Callithrix jacchus: one gene and its partners. The protein of the gene in region 1 interacts with the protein of each later gene in a biochemical or structural test. Links are inferred from orthologs where the notes say so. Each region holds a gene or a part of one and is shown in the gene's direction. Other genes may lie near its edges. The genes, in order: DCAF1, NF2, PPP2R1A and UNG.

Region 1 (4,283 bases):
CGCCTTCTGTTTTTAGACAAAGCTTCCATCCAGTGGCTGATCCCAAGCCCCACTTACAAAGTGTGACCTTCCGAGGCAGTAACTGAGTTTCCACATTTTATGGAATGACCCTTTCTTCCCTGAGTGGTTTTCTGTTTTCTCCCCTGGATTGGCTCTTCAGTAGGTGGGATTCTCTACCCTTTGGAGAGAGTAGGCACTGAGCACTCTAGTTTCTTCTGACACTCTTCTTCCTCTGTGTAATCCAGCAGTTAGGGGTTCCAGGCTACCAAGGCTACCAGGGTTGCTTTTCTTCTTTTTTTTTGAGACAGAGTCTGGCTCTGACACCAGGCTGGAGTGCAGTGGCACAATCTCGGCTCACTGCCTCCCAGTTCACCACCTCTGCCTCCCAGTTCAAGTGATTATTCTGCCTCAGCCTCCCAAGTAGCTGGGGCTACAGGTGTGTGCTACCACACCCAGTTAATTTTTGTATTTTTCAGTAGAGATGACCATGTTGGTCAGGATGGTCTCGATCTCTTGAACTCGTGATCTGCCCACATCGGCCTCCCAAAGTGCTGGAATTACAGGTGTGAGCCACCTCGCCCAGCCCAGGGCTGCTTTGCAGCCGAGTTTGGTCTATGTGCTTGCCCAGGAAACAGGTAGGAATGGATAGTCAGGCATGGCTCATACATGTAATCCCAGCACTTTGGGAGGCCGAGGTAGGTGGATCATCTGAGGTTAGGAGTTCGACACCAGCCTGGCCAACATGTTGAAACCCTGTCTCTACTAAAAATACAAAATTTACAGGTGTGGTGGCAGGCACCTGTAATCCCAACTACTTGAGAGGCTGAGGCATGAAAATCGCTTGAACCCGGAAAATGTACATCTCAGTGAGCCAAGATTATGCCACTGCACTCCAGCCTGGGCAACAAGAGTGAAACTTCATCTCAAAAAAGGAAAAAAAAAAAAAAAAAAAAAAAAAAAAAAAGATAGTCATAGAGGGATGGCACTGAGGAGAATATCTGGTCCCTGGATCAGGGGCCTTAACCTCCTCTTTCAATAGATCACCCAGAACATCAGTGATCAGGACACTTATATGTACTCAGCTGGGTCAAGGGTCCTCCTCCTGCCCTAGGGTCTCAAAGGACAGGACAATGGTTAAGGAATACAGGCTCAGACCCCAACCATTCTCATCTTTTGGTGATGACTGAGACCAGAGAAACTGACCCCATCTGGAGTCTCCAACAACCCTTCTCACCCACTAGAGCCTGAGGCTGGTCTGGTGAGCTCCTCCAGACTCTACACCTCTCTCCAGAGTCTACAGGCTGCTTATGAAGTCCTTTCTCCCCCAAAGTCATGCCCACTAGTCCCTGGTTGCCCTGGTCCCTGGTCCTGTGGTGGGGCAGCCAGCTTTGTGACTTCATAGAAGGCTATCTTGTGACAAGTCTGGGCCTGGTGAAGCAGGAGCAGGGCAAAGGGGGCTCCCCTTAGGAATATCATGTGACTTTTCATAGAGAGACATCTCCATCTCTAAGGGATGAAGAAGAGCTTCCCCACAGTAAGAGCCCATGACACCCTCTACACCTAGAAACTCCTCTCCTTGAGGATTTTGGCTCCCAGGCCTAACTGGGTACTCCAGGCTGTATCTGGCAACATCTCCAAGAGGGCCAGGCCCACGGTAGAGGTATTTACTTCAGGTGATGGGTGGATCTCTAACCTCTGAATTTGTCCCATTTGACAAAGCCATTTTTCTCTAGGCCCCCCCTCTCTTTTCTTTAATTTCAAATATTATTATTATTATCATTTTTTTATTTTATTTTGAGACAGAGTCTTGCTCTGTCACCTAGGCTGGAGTGCAGTGGAGCAATCTCGGCTCACTGGGTTCAAGCAATTCTTGTGCCTCAGGACTCTGAGTAGCTGGGATACAGGCGCACAGCCGGATAAATTTTGTACCTTTTTAGTAGAGATAGGGTTTTGCTATCTTGGCCAGGCTGGTCTAGAACTCCCAACCTTAGGTGATCCATCAGCCTCGGCCTCCCAAAGTGCTGGGATTATGGCGTGAGCCACCACGCCTAGCCATAAGAATGATTTTTATTTTTATTTTAAAATTATTTATTTGTTTATTTTTTTTAGATGGAGTCTTGCTCCATAGCCCAGGCTGGAGTGCAGTGGCGTGACCTTGGCCCACTGCAGCTTCCACCTCCAGGGTGCCAGTTCAAGCAATTCTGTGTCAGCCTCCTGAGTAGCTAAAGATCATTCTGGGCCGGGCACAGTGGCTCACACCTGTAATCCCAGCACTTTGGGAGGCCAAGGTGGGTGGATCACTTGAGGTCAGGAGTTCCAGACCAGCCTGGGCAACATGATGAAACCCCATCTCTACTAAAAATACAAAAAACTAGCCAGGTGTGGTGGTGTGCACCTGTAATCCCAGCTACTCAGGAGGCTGAGACAGGAAAATCACTTGAACCCAGGAGGCAGAGGTTGCAGTGAGAAGAGACTGCTTTATTGCCTTTTAGCCTGGGGACAGAGCGAGACTCCGTCTCAAGAAAATACAGAAATAAAAAACAAATACAGGGGTTTCTGAGAGCTTGGAGGCCAGGCCAACACAGACCCTCTCCCCAATGTTAATTCCACTCTTCTTCCTCCTGGAAGGATTTCCAACCCCAGGAACCTGAGGCAAAAGAGGCTGGGTGTGCTTGCTTTTTTATCTCCCCAGTACTTGTGCCCATGGACCATGTGGGCACTTACATTGTTGACTTTGTGGCATCTGTTTCTTTCTCTGTAAAGTGAGAGTGGTGGATGTGAATGTAATCAGACATAATTACACACCCTTTGGGAAATGGAGTGGCATTCCCTCTCCTCATTTTCTCTGGGGGGCTATCAGGGCCACGAGGCAGGAGCAGGGCACCCAGTGAATGACTGGGATTTCCTCTTTGTCTAGGCTGGTGTTCTCAAGGATGGTAACCTTGAGCCTCTAATTGGTAGCTTCTGTGACACTCCTGGACACTTGCAGTAGCAGTCTTGTCTAGCCTAAAGGAGAGCAGGGGTGGATATGGGACAGCTGGCCTCACTTCCCAGCCCTAGGGAAGGGCATTGCTGGAGGAAGCACAGGAATTGTGGGGTGACACCAGGGTAAGGATGAGCTGGTGGGTGCACCTGGGTAAGCCTAGAAGGTGCTGGGAGTGAAAAGCTCGTAGAAGGATGGGAGCAGGAGAGGGAGGAGAGTGAAGGAGAAGACTGAGGCCCAGAGAACCTGCTGCTGTCCACTTTCCTACCCAGGTAGTGGGTGTGCTTGGACGTGGGAGTAGGTAGAGCATGCCTATCTGTAGGCCTTGGTCCTGGGGCCAGGGCTGGGCTCTTCTTGCATTTTCTCTGCTTCTGGGCAGCTCCAAAAGCACTCCTCGCTCTTTCAGATGAGGCTTCTTCTTTCTCAGGCACACTACAGAGCAGGGGGTGGAAGAGGCAGGGCAGGGTAAGACAGAGTCCAAAGATGTCCCACCAAAGATGCCAATAAATCTCCTTCCAGTGATGCAGGACCCATGTGCCAGAACCAAGCCAGGATGTGGCCCTGGATTGTCTGTAGCTTTGTGTGTTCATATGCTTAGATGTGAAAGTATTTGTTGTGAGGACTGGGTGCCTAATGCATGCTTGTGTATCTGGCAAATGTAATACTTGAACAGTGAAATGTGTCACCAAGCACACTTGGAATGTGTGTGCAGTTGGGAAAGCCTGGGTGCTCCCCCTTCTCCTTCCCAGAGGTGGGAAGGAGGTGTTTAGGGGTGTCTGTAGGTGCATGGCTGTGTGCATGTCAGGGAGGGGGAGGTGTTGGCAGGGGTAGAGGAGGCTACAGGAGTTACAGAGTGCAGATTCCTGAGGGTGTGGCTGCTGGACAGGCCCTGCTCATCTTCTGCTCTGCTTCCCCAGCCTCTTAGGCCCTGGGTTCTCCAAAGCCCCTCCTTAATGCTTCTTGCTCCCATCATCAACCCAGGACCCCAGGCTGAGTTTCTGCTTTTTTAAAGAAAATAAAAATAAAAAATTTATTTTGGGTGGCTCATGCCTGTAATCCCAGCACTTTGGGAGGCCGAGGCTGGGGGATCACCTGACGTTGGGAGTTCGAGATCAGACTGACCAACACGGAGAAACCCCTTCTCTACGAAAAATACAAAATTAGCCAGGTGTGGTGGCATGTGCCTGTAATCCCAGCTACTAGGGAGGCTGAGGCAGGAGAATCGCTTGAACCCGGGAGGTGGAGGTTATGGTTGCAGTCCAGCCTGGGCAACAAGAGTGAAACTCTGTCTCAAATAAAT
Region 2 (3,560 bases), on another chromosome or scaffold:
TTCTCCTGCCAGGTGCACCTCTCTGGTCGGGCTTGTACCTCTGTGATAAGCCCCTGACCCTCTGATGGCCGTGTATGCAGGAAAACCCCTGAGTATATCCACAGACTGCTTTCAGCTGAAGAGACGTGAGAAGGCTCTTTGTTCATTAAAAAAAAACAACAATAACAAGGTTCTTTTCTGCTTTCATTCGGTGGAGCTGCAGAACAGCAGCTGCTTACCTTTAAAGGGAAACTAGTGCCTGCATCCCCCAGCCTTCCTTGGCACATGGGGGAGGAGGGCTAGGATAGTCTCTGTGACTGGTATGTCCCACTCATGGCCAGGTTGAAGGATGGAACTGTTGTCTGTACTTTTGAAAGACTATTCTAGGCCTGCAACCTTCAGATAAACACTGACACATTCCCCACAGCTTTTGGCTGTTGATTTAGAGCACTTGAATTTGGCTTTTAGTTACCAAGGTGCATTCACTACAGTTTCCTTACCACTCTTTGCATGTCATTCTGGGAATATGGTTTCTTTTTGCCTGTCCTGCTTCGGCCCCCTTGCTGTATGCAGGTCACACTCCCTGTACATGGCAGATGAGGTGCAGAGAGCCTGCAGTTAGGGACTGGATAGAACACCCTGGTCTGCCATTTGGCTTGGACTAGGGACTGCACACACACAACCTGTGATGCAGGTTGGGCCAGGTCCCTGTGCCAAGCCTCACATGCTGTGTCCACCCCAAGCCCCGCAGGGTGAGGATCTTCACCAAGGTGCAGTGCCCTCAGTGACAGGGCTCATCTTCCTGCTGGAGAAAGTGGGCACAAGGCCTGCAGGTGTTTTACCCGGGGACTGTGAAGACACAGCTCTTGCATATACTGCGCTTTGCGATCCGATATAAGAACTTTGATCCTCCAGGCTTTTCCTTTGCCCAGCTTACTTTCACCCAAAAATAAAGCAGAGAAAGCTGCTGGTGCTTCCTCCAGCTCCTCCCTCTCCCGGCTGCAGACGGTCTGGTTTCTCTCATTCCCCACCAGTTTTCCTGCTCTTCCAGTTTAGATTTACCAGCTCAAATGAAAATCTTCAGGAGTGTTGTCCTTGCTTTGGAAGTTTTCATGTAAATGTCCCTGTCCCGCTGTCCTTTTTCGCCTCTTCAGGTACCATCCTCAGGGTTAACCAAGGTCTCTCCTTTGCACAGGTAGGGTGGGGTCTTTTCCCTCCACCTGCCCTGTTCTGTGATGCTGACATCTCCTCCTTTCCTTGCAGGGCCAAAGAGGCCGATCAGCTGAAGCAGGACCTGCAGGAAGCGCGTGAGGCGGAGCGAAGAGCCAAGCAAAAGCTCCTGGAGATCGCCACCAAGCCCACGTACCCGGTGAGCCTGTGGGGTTGCCACCTGGGGCTGCCTTAGCCCTGGTGATATTCTCTTTCCTTCCGGCCCTTCGGTTCATCTGGCAGTGCCTTCAGGCTGACCATTCAAGTAAACGCATGGCAGGATGAGAGGTGCAGAGAGCCTGCAGTTAGGGACTGGGTAAAACACCCTGGTCTGCCATTTGGCTTTGGACTAGTTAGTTGTCTCTCTGGTTGCCTAGATAATAGGCAACAGGGCCTTTTCCAGCTCTGGAATCTTTTTCATGTTCTAAGTAATATAGTCCCAGATTATCCTCAAGAGAATTTGCTCTCTTGCCTCTTAATGCTGAGCTGAATGTAATCTTCAACTATCAGTATATACCATATATCATAATTATAGTTTTGGGAAGGGATTGGCTGTACATCTCAGAGTGAATTATTGCTGTGCAAGAATGAGCAGCCAATCTCAGTTTCAGGACAGAGAGGCAGACTTCCTATTAAATGGGGTCACAAAATGAATAGAAGCCTCTTTCCTTCCTTTCTTCTGTGCATTCAGTTCAGCACTTTTTTTTTTTTTTTGCATATTTGTTCTGTATCCACATTGTGCCACATAGTTGGAAGTCTCTATCCTGACAGGTGTTCTCAGGGTGCATGGGTGCCTAGAGGAGGAGGACACAGCCCATCCTGGAGGGGCAGGAGAGGCTCAGTATGGTGTCTGCACTGAAGCTTGAAGTAGGAACAGGAAGTAGCCAGGTGGAGAAGAGAACATAGGGTATTCAGGATGAGGGCACAGATGCACACATGGCCCAGACTCATACACGGCACAGTCATGCACATGGCACATCCACACACAGCACAGACAAACACACACATACCCATACATACATTCATGCACATGGCACAGGCACATACATGACACAGATGCACAAAGAGCACCAGAGGCACAAGCTGCCTGGGGTTCAAGGTGGGGGAAATGTAAGCAGTTTGCTGTTGTCATATATCCTGGTTCTCTATTACTATGTAACAACCCACCCAAGCCAACCGTGTGGCCCAAAACAACCCTTTATTAGTACCTCTGGTGGCTGGTTGGGTTGACTGGGCCAGACAGAGATCCTTGCTGGGGATCTCTCTGGTGGTCACAGTCAGATGGTAGCTGGGACTGTAGTCATCTGAGCCCTCAGCTTGGCTGAACACTTGAGATGTGTGTGTTGTTTTTATTTATTATTACTGATGTGTGTGTTGTTTTTATTTATTATTACTTTTTTTTAAAATTTATTTAGAGAGTTTCACTCTGTCACCCAGGCTGGAGTGCGGTGGCACAATCTCGGCTCAGTGCAACCTCTACCTCCTAGGCTCAAGCGATCCTCCCGCCTCTGTCTCTTGAGAAGCTGGGACCATAGGTGTGCGTCACCACACCCAGCTAATTTTGTGTGTGTGTGTTTGGTAGGGACAGGGTTTTGACATGTGGCCCAGGCTGGTCTCAAACTCCTAAGCTCAAGTGATCTGCTCGCCTCAGCTTCCCAAAGTGCTGGGATTATAGGTGTGAGCCACCGCGCCCAGTCTATGTGTTGTTTTTAAAATACACACTGGAGCAAACTTTATACACTGCTGTATCCACTCTTTCCTCTTAGCAGTCAATCCTAGAGGAGATGATTCATATCACCTTTTTAATCAAGTTTTATTGTGTAGATGGATTATAATTCATTTAACCAGTCCCTCATGGATGAGTATTTAGTCTGTTTTCTTTTGCAGTTTTGAGCAAAATAGCACTGAACATCCCTGAACACAAATCTTGACACACACACAGGGATATACTGGTAGAATAAATTCTCATAATAGAACTGTGGGGTCAAATTTTCCATTTCGATACTCTCCAAAGAAGTCGTCCCAGTTCATGCTCTCACTAGTGCTACAGCAACTAGAACTTGTTTTTTCTGGAAATTTTTATGACGTATAACATACATATAGAGAAGTGCCGAAATTACAACTATACAGCTTGAAGAATTTTCACAAACTGAACATACCCATGTACCCAGCACCCAGATCAGAAAACAGGATGTCCCTGGCACCCCAGGAGCCTTCTCTTGCCACCCTTGCAGACGGTCTGCCTCAGGCCTTGAAAGTGTCTCAAATGAATGTGTCAAGCCTCTGCTCTTTCCCAGACACTGTCCTGGACTTAATAAGGGATACAAGGATGAAAAAGAGGCAGATCGTTTGCAGGAAACTTGCAAATAGTA
Region 3 (4,122 bases), on another chromosome or scaffold:
CTCCATCTCAAAAAAAAAAAAAAAAGAAAAGAAAAGAAAGAAAGAAAAGGCCAGGTGTGGTGGCTCGCTTTAGAAGGCCAAGGCAGGCAGATCACCCTGAGGTCAGGAGTTTGAGGTCAGCCTAGCCCAAAGTGGTGAAAACCCCGTCTCTACTAAAAATACAAAATTTACCCAGCTACTCCGGAGGCTGAGGCAGCAGAATCACTTGAGCCAGGGAGGTAGAGGTTGCACTGTGCTGAGATCAGGCAACTGCACTGCAGCCTGGGCGACAGACTGAGACTCCATCTCAAAAAAAAAAAGAAAGAAAAAGATGCTGGGGGCATTCAGACCTGTCAGAGCGCTAGCTCAGTCCAGCCCTTCAAGCGTAGCAGAATGAAAGAGGAAAGAGCATCCCAGGCCTTCCCATCCCTCCAACTCCCTTAGTTACAGTGGTCCTAAGATTTCAGTGGGTGGGTTGGTGGGGGGGGGGCAATGTGTTTAGGGAGGTTAAAAACAGAGATTAGGCCTGGCTTGATGCCTCGCGCCTGTAATCTGGGTATTGGATACCAGCCGAGGGGTTTGGGTTTCATCCAAAGAGCAAGACAACTGAGCTCAACATAGACTCGGTTCTACAAAAATTTTCTGCAGGCTGAGGCCAGAGGGTCGTTTCAGACTGGGGAGGTCCAGGCGGCAATGAGCCGAGATCGCGCCACTGCACTCCAGCCTGGGCAACACAGCGAGACAATGTCTTTAAAAAAGCAAAAAAAAAAAAAAAAAGATAGAGAAAGAGAGAGAACAGGGCAAGTCACTCCCTTCTCTAGGCCTTGGCATAAAATAAATACAAAGTCTCATTCCGTTCTCCTCCCGCGCAAAGGCGCGGGGGGGGGGCCACTCCGCCAGCCAATGGAACCACGGCTTGATAACCCAAAACCTGCACACCCTACCGCTCCCCACATGACGTCATGTATTACCATCGACGCACGCGCAGAAGCCTCCGGGATTTACCGAAAGGCAGGCTTAGCCTCCTCCCCATCTCGCCCTTCATTGGCTACAAACAACTGCTCGTCTCGGTCGTTGTCAGCGGAGACGAGGGCGGGTACAATGTTGGTCGCTAGGACACCGCTAAGTTCCTCTTTCTCGCTCTCCTAGGCTCAAACTAGTCAAATCTCGTTCAATCGACCAATGGCAAATGGGAAATGGGCGGGACTTCACTAGTCTGGACCAAAGAAACGCGGGCTTAGCCCGGCGTAGCGCGGCCAATGACCATGGAGCAGCCCCTGTAAACTGGCTTGGGCGCCCCCACGCGCGCGTTTCCTCCTCCTCCTCCCAGCTCTGCCCCGGGTTTCAGCACAGCGCTGGCCGCAGTCTGACAGGAACGGGACGGAGCCAAGATGGCGGCGGCCGACGGCGACGACTCGTTGTACCCCATCGCGGTGCTCATAGACGAACTCCGCAACGAGGATGTTCAGGTCCGGAGGCTACGGGGGAGTTAGGGAAGTGGGGAGGGGGATCTTGGGACACCGGCAGCACTCGCGAAGACTCAGCGTTCGCTGGGAGTGGCGGAAGGAAGCGGCGGCCAATCAGTGTGCTTTTCTTACCTCCCCGGGTGCCCGGACTCATTGAGACGGCGCCCCCGATTGGGTGTCGACCCAGCGGAGGGCGGGGGCCAGCGCCAGCCTCGAGGGTCCCGGGCCTGCAGAGTGCGCGCGGTGGCCCTGGGTCCTGGGAGGCCGCGACCTGGGCTACGATCGGTGGGCTGGGTTGGGGAGAGGAGAGAGGAGGACTCCGTGATTGGCGGCGGCTTCCGAATGGTCCCTTGGGGATGTGGGGCGCGCGTGACTTGCTCCGAGTGGGGGAGGGCCGCCTGGTGGATCGGGACCTGGAGAGTTTTTTGTTTTTTTTTTCTTTTCTGGGTTTATACTCCTGGGCCAAGTGGGGACCGAGAGGCGAAAGCCTGCCATCGCAATTCCTGCTTTTCCTACGCTTCTCATTTTGGTGTAGGTGTCCTAAGAGGAGGGGGATGCAGAAACAGCGCCCCCCCCAAAAAGTGGGGACTAGCCAAATTTAGGGGCGAATTACATTGTAGAAAGCTGCCTCCCCACCCCCGGATCCTCCCATTGACCAGGATAGGGGGCGAAGGCTTTGCTAAGCCGATGAACATTTCTTCCTAATTTTTTTTTTTTTTCGATACCGAGCTCGCTGTGTCACCCAGGTGGGGGTGCAGAGGCGCGATCTCGGCTCAGTGCAGCCTCGCCTCCCGGGTTCAAGTCGTCCTCGCGCCTCAGCCCCCTAAGTAGCTGAGATTACCGCCGCGATCCACCACGCCCAACTAATTTTTGTATTCTTAGTAGAGATGGGATTTTGCTTTGCTAGCCAGGCTTGGTCTCAAACTCCTGACCTTAGGCGATCCACCCGCCTCGGCCTCCCAAAGTGCTAGGATTACAGGGGTGAGCCACCGCGCCCGGCCCGGGTGAACATTTCTGGTTATGGGATGAGGTGGCCCAAGGTGGTGTGGGATTGAAAACAGTTAGGACTTCAAGTTCACCTCCCACCCGCTGTGTGACCTTGTGCAAATTATTTCACCGCTCTGGGCCTCTGTCCCATAAAATGTGGGCTAATTGTAGCCCTCGTCTTGCTGGAGGGACTTGTTGAAGGGCTGAATGAATTATGACACAAAGTTGAGTGCTGTCAGGCCTGCCATAAGGGCCGGATAAATATTAGCTGCACTTATTGGGAGTGGTGATTAAAGAGGTCCCATCCTCCCTTTAGGCCTCAGTTTTCCCGTTTATAAAATTGAACAAGTGCACTGGGTAACCTACAAAACGTGGGTCCCATCCCTAGGTTCCTGGTATATCACTTTCTGGTGGCAGACAGACCGTGGTTGTACTCCTGGCCCTTCCACTTCTCACTGATTGACATGGACAAATTAGTTAATCTCTCTAGGCCTCTGTTTGCTCTTCTCTTGATTGGGGATAATTATGTAGTTCATAGGGCTGTTGTATTGAATTTTTTTTTTTTTTTTGAGATGGAGTCTCACTCTGTCGCCCAGGCTGGAATGCAGTGGCATGATCTTGGCTCACTGCAACCTCCGCCTCCCAGGTTCAAGCGATTCTCCTGCCTCAGCCTCCAGAGTAGCTGGGACTACAGGTGCATGTCACCACAGCTGGCTAATTTTTGTATTTTTAGTAGAGATGGGCTTTCACTATATTGGTGAGGCTGGTCTTAAACTCCTGACCTCATGATCCACCCGCCTCGGCCTCCCAAAGTGTTGGGATTACAGGCGTGAGCCACCGCGCCCGGCCGTATGAATTCTTTTGTTCAGTAAACACATGGCGTGTATCAGGTATGATGCTGGGGGTGTAGTGGAGACACCAGTTGCTCTACAGGATCTGCGTGTGAAACAGGCCAACAGAGCTGAATGAAAAGTGATGGGAAGGGAACAAACAGGATGTTGTGGTAGTGAATCCACATTGAATTGGGCGAGTGTTCTGTGCGGGGCACTGTTCTAGGCACTGGTATAGCAGGGAACGAGACAAAAAATCCCGCACTTGGGGAGTTTACCTTGTAGTGAGGAAAGACAGACAGTAAACGAAGAGTATACTGTATTACATGCGGATGAGTGTCAGGGAGAAAAGTAAGAGAGAGAGGAGATGCAGTTTTAAAGTGTAGTCTGGGGAGGCCTTGTTGAGATGATGTTTGAGAACACACCTGAAGGCAGAGGAAGCAGGATTACAAAGTTGGGTGGGGCAGATGCATTTTAAGTAGGCCATTCGGGCAACGCCCCTCTGAGGATGCAGAGTTTGAGAAGAGACTGAAAGAAGGTGGGGAGGAGCCTCCGAGGAAGAGGAAGCAGATGTGTAATGGCCCTTTTTTTTTTTTTTTTTTTTTTTTTCTGGCAGAGTCTCCCACTGTTGCCCAGGCTGGAGTGCAGTGATGCAGTCTTGGCACACTGCAGCCTCCACCTCCTGGGTTCAAGTGATTCTCCTGCCTCAGACTCCTGAGTAACTGGGCATGCGCCACCACCCCTGGCTAATTTTTTTTTCGTATTTTTAGAAGAGATGGGGTTTCTCCAGGTTGACCAGGCTGGTCTCAAACTACTGACCTCAGATGATCCGCCCATCTCGGCCTCCCACAGTGCTGGAA
Region 4 (4,105 bases), on another chromosome or scaffold:
GAGTAGTTGGGATTACAAGTGCATGCCACCACACCTGACTGATTTTTGTATTTTTAGTAGAGATGGGTTTTTGCCATGTTGGCCAGGCTGGTCTCGAACTCCTAGGCTCAAGCGATACGCTCCTCCCTTCGGCCTCCCAAAGTTCTGGGATTACAGACGTGAGCCATAGCACTGGGCCGGTCCTGGGTACTGTCATGATGTAAAAATCTCTCTCTAGAAAGGAGAACACTTCCCAGCTGGTCTTCTGTAGCCAGGAGATGCAAGAGCAGCAGCTGAATTTGAGGTTTGTTTTGGAGAAAGAATCAAAGGGAGATATGGATGGTTTGGATGTGAGGGAGGGAAAGAGAATCCTAAGTGTATTAGTAGTGGTGGGGAGGAGGCACAGTGGTGTCATTTGGAGAATAAATCGTTGGGGTTTAACCTCTCTGACCCAAAAGTCTCCCACAAGCCTGATACATTAGGCAAAATGTTTGCCTGCTCTAAGCCTTAGTTTATTGTCATAAAGTAGGCCATGAAAATTGTGTTAGATAATGTATATAACAGTTCAACAAATACTATTTTATCTTTTGTGTGTTTGTTTTTGAGATGGAGTCTCACTCTGTTACCCAGGCTGGAGTGCAGTGGCGCAATCTCGGTTCCCTGCAACCTCCGCCTCCCGGGTTCAAGCGATTCTCCAGCCTCAGGCTCCCAAGTAGCTGGGATTACAGGCGCGCGCCACCACGCACGGCTAATTTTTGTATTTTTAGTAGAGACGAGGTCTCACCATGTTGGCCAGGCTGGTCTGGAACTCCTGACCTCAGGCGATCCACCTGCCTCGGATTACAGTGTTGGGATAATAGGCCTGAGCCATCAAGCCTGGGCAATACTATTATATTGTTCACTGCACTCCCACAACACCCCTAAGGGGCAGGTACTTTTCTCCCCCCACCCCCGCCACGCCGCGCCAGAGGCGGTCTCGTTCTGTCGCCCAGGCTGGAGTGCAATGGCCCGATCAAAGCTCACTACAGCTGCGACCTTCTGGCCTCAAGCGATTCTCCCGCCAGGGCCTCCCAAAACCCTAGGATTACAGGCATGCACCACCGCGCCCGGCTTTTTTTTCTTGCAGCTGAGCCTGGAGAGACTTTCCAATGGTCAGAGTTGAGCCGAAGGCTAATGAAATAATAGGCCCCGGGGCACCTTTACACGCCCCACCTCCTCCCAGAGGCGTTGCAAGGCAGCCCCTCCCGCACATGCGCACTAGGCCTTCCACAGCCCCCCGCCCCCAGCAAAGCCCCCAGCTCGGAGCATGCGCGGGCCGCTTGGCGCCAATTGCTGACCGCCACAGCCAGGACCAGCTTCGCGGGTTCCCCGGCAGCAGGCATTCGCTGCCTCCTCGGCTCCGGGATGATCGGCCAGAAGACGCTCTACTCCTTCTTCTCCGCTAGCCCCGCCAGGAAGCGACGCCCCACCAGCCCGGAGCCGGCTGACCTGGGGACTGGCGTGGTGGCAGTGGCTGAAGAGAGCGGAGATGCGGCGGTGAGGCGCGACGTGGGGCCAGGGCTGGGGTGGTCAAGGGGAAGGAAGGTGGTGAGCCCCGTCTGACTGAGGGCGTGTAGGAGTGCGCCTCTGAGTCCGTACCCTGGCTCCCCTTTCCAAGCAGCCTCCATGTGTTCAAAACAGCCGCCGCGGTCCCCCCTTGGGCCGCCATGCTGAGGGGTCAGCCAATGGGAACGCGCCTCGGGGCCCAGCGCGCCAATCCGCGCGCTGTGGGCCCGCCTTGCTCAGCGCGCTGTCCAATCAGGGGAGAGGGGGCGGGACCCAGAGGGAAGGTTTTTGCCGCGAAAAGGCCGCGTGGGGACGCGGGAGGCGGGTCTCGCAGGGGCGGGGCGCCTCTGTGCAGGATCCCCAGTCCCCGCGATACCCCTGATGACCCCGCGGGGACGCCTCCCAGCCCCTCTTTTCCCTCCAGTTTAGAACCTAACTCCCAATTCCCGGACCAGGCCTAGCCCTGGCTCCTATTGTCCGGTTCTGAGTCCTGCTCCTCAAATGGGCAGCTTCTGCCTTGGGCTGTGGGGGTTGGGCCGGAAGCTGCGGACGTCTGGGAAGGGGCCGCTACTGTTCTGGAGCCGCCTCTGCGGGGACTCCTTGCAGGCCAGCCCCGCCAAGAAGGCCCGGGCCGAGCAGGATGAGCCCGGGACGCCACCCTCCTCGCCGCTGAGCGCGGAGCAGTTGGACCGGATCCAGAGGAACAAGGCCGCGGCCCTCCTCAGACTCGCCGCCCGCAACGTGCCCGTGGGCTTTGGGGAGAGCTGGAAGAAGCACCTCAGCGGGGAGTTCGGGAAGCCGTATTTTATCAAGGTGAATATGGAAATACACCTTCCATAAGGGTAAATGTGGAAGCTGCCGGTTCTTTGTCTTGTTAGTGTAGCCGGCCAAGTACACGTTTCCGTAGGCTCAGGTTGTACCCCCTTCAACGTCCTTTACTCCATAGAGGTTTAAGAAAGCCATGATGTTTTAATCTGCACCTTTATATTGGTTAAAGTTGTTAATGATCGGGGAGATGGTATCATGACTTCATTTTAGCCACCTAGTCTGCTGTCCAGGAAAGGCTGGCATTGTAAAACCACCAACCATCCTGAATGAAACCTGGCTTGACGTTTAAAAAGAAACGGGGAGGAGTGGCACTGTCAGGACCACTCCTGAAAGAGGCAGGGAATTGACCTGATTGAACCACTTAGGTGAGGGGCAGGCACTGTTTTAGTTTGTTGGTTTTTGTTTTTTTTTTTTTTTTTAAGAATTTGGATATAAAGCATGGCAAAGAACTAACGATGTTCCAAATAACATACCCTAGAAGCTTTCTTATGAATTCTTATGGTTTCCAATGAGAATCTGATTTTAAGTCTAGTTTATCTTTAAATCAGCTAATGGGATTTGTTGCAGAAGAAAGAAAGCATTACACGGTTTATCCACCCCAACACCAAGTCTTCACCTGGACTCAGATGTGTGACATAAGAGATGTAAGTATAAGTTGTTGATGATTTTTATTGGGGAGAAGGAGTCAAATAGTATTCTTAAATTAGGGACACCGGAGTTAAGCCACAGTCCATCATTCAGTAGTAAATAAAACACTGCAATTGTGAGGTTCGGCTGACTGTATTTCAGCCTATATTTACTCTTTTTAATGTTTGACACATGCTATTTATACAGCAAAAAGGAGAAATATGTACATCCTATGCTTTTATTTCTTGTATTTTTTTTAAATCTGGAAACCTCTCGCAGTGTTACATATTACGGTGGTGTCGATGAAGTTCAGACTGACACACAAAGCAGTTAAATGTGTTGCGGCTATAGTCAAACCCACCTTGGCCTGACCACGCTGTCTTATAGTTAGCACTTTCAAGCTCTTTACTTTTGGCCTGAACGGTTTTATGTTTCTGTTAACAGATCCCTTTGCGTTAGTTCCTCTTATATAACAGTTGCTGCTTGGTGGCTCTCATCAGTCTCATGTTCAAAAGTCCGTGGGGCCAGGCATGGTGGCTCATGCCTGTAATCCCAGCACTTCGGGAGGCCAAGGTGGGAAGGTCACTTGATGTCAGGAGTTCAAGACCAGCCTGGCCAACATGGTGAAACCCGGTCTCTTAAAATACAAAAATTAGCCAGGCATGATTGGGCATGCCTGTAATCCCAGCTATTCTTCAGGTTGAGGTGGGAGAATCGTGTGAGCCCTGGAGGTGGCGGTTGCAGTGTGCCCCAGATCACACCACTGCACTCCAGCTTAGGTGACAGAGGCAGACTCCGGTCTCCAAAAAAAAAAAAAAAAAAAACTGTGGCTCTTTACTGTTGAACTATGAAAGCGGAGCAACCCTTTTTAAATAGGGCTGTGTCCTACCTCTCAGCCTTACCTCCAGCTCCCACTCCAGAGCTGGACAGTGTGACAAACCCCTCCCGACACTTCTGTCTCTTAAAAATCAAGTGGATACCTCTGTGGCGCCTCCTTGAATCCTGTTGCCTGATACCTGTATGATCCGGTTTTCCTACGATGCATTTAGCACGTACTGGACTTTTAGGTTTCTTACTCGTTTTCCTCCCCCATTTTGTAAACTGGGGCAAGAATCTTGTGATTTAA

Evidence for each region.
Region 2: the proteins of DCAF1 (region 1) and NF2 form a complex in vitro, tested with the Homo sapiens proteins (3 studies listed by BioGRID, with this or other methods). The link is inferred for Callithrix jacchus from reciprocal best matches to the Homo sapiens genes DCAF1 and NF2.
Region 3: of the proteins of DCAF1 (region 1) and PPP2R1A, one has a biochemical effect on the other in vitro, tested with the Homo sapiens proteins (2 studies listed by BioGRID, with this or other methods). The link is inferred for Callithrix jacchus from reciprocal best matches to the Homo sapiens genes DCAF1 and PPP2R1A.
Region 4: of the proteins of DCAF1 (region 1) and UNG, one has a biochemical effect on the other in vitro, tested with the Homo sapiens proteins (2 studies listed by BioGRID, with this or other methods). The link is inferred for Callithrix jacchus from reciprocal best matches to the Homo sapiens genes DCAF1 and UNG.

What each region holds. Positions count from the first base shown.
Region 1 is NC_133516.1:34,070,575-34,074,857, reverse strand, and holds the start of DCAF1 (DDB1- and CUL4-associated factor 1), read left to right. Parts: upstream 1-1,465; 5' UTR 1,466-1,673; intron 1,674-4,283. UniProt on the Homo sapiens protein: Acts both as a substrate recognition component of E3 ubiquitin-protein ligase complexes and as an atypical serine/threonine-protein kinase, playing key roles in various processes such as cell cycle, telomerase regulation and histone modification.
Region 2 is NC_133502.1:200,270,113-200,273,672, forward strand, and holds part of NF2 (merlin), read left to right. Parts: intron 1-1,242; coding exon 1,243-1,348; intron 1,349-3,560. UniProt on the Homo sapiens protein: Probable regulator of the Hippo/SWH (Sav/Wts/Hpo) signaling pathway, a signaling pathway that plays a pivotal role in tumor suppression by restricting proliferation and promoting apoptosis.
Region 3 is NC_133523.1:45,575,329-45,579,450, forward strand, and holds the start of PPP2R1A (serine/threonine-protein phosphatase 2A 65 kDa regulatory subunit A alpha isoform), read left to right. Parts: upstream 1-1,296; 5' UTR 1,297-1,370; coding exon 1,371-1,448; intron 1,449-4,122. UniProt on the Homo sapiens protein: The PR65 subunit of protein phosphatase 2A serves as a scaffolding molecule to coordinate the assembly of the catalytic subunit and a variable regulatory B subunit.
Region 4 is NC_133510.1:111,975,616-111,979,720, forward strand, and holds the start of UNG (uracil-DNA glycosylase), read left to right. Parts: upstream 1-1,303; 5' UTR 1,304-1,383; coding exon 1,384-1,515; intron 1,516-1,867; exon of another isoform or gene 1,868-2,025; coding exon of another isoform or gene 2,026-2,130; coding exon 2,131-2,337; intron 2,338-2,900; coding exon 2,901-2,996; intron 2,997-4,105. UniProt on the Homo sapiens protein: Uracil-DNA glycosylase that hydrolyzes the N-glycosidic bond between uracil and deoxyribose in single- and double-stranded DNA (ssDNA and dsDNA) to release a free uracil residue and form an abasic (apurinic/apyrimidinic; AP) site.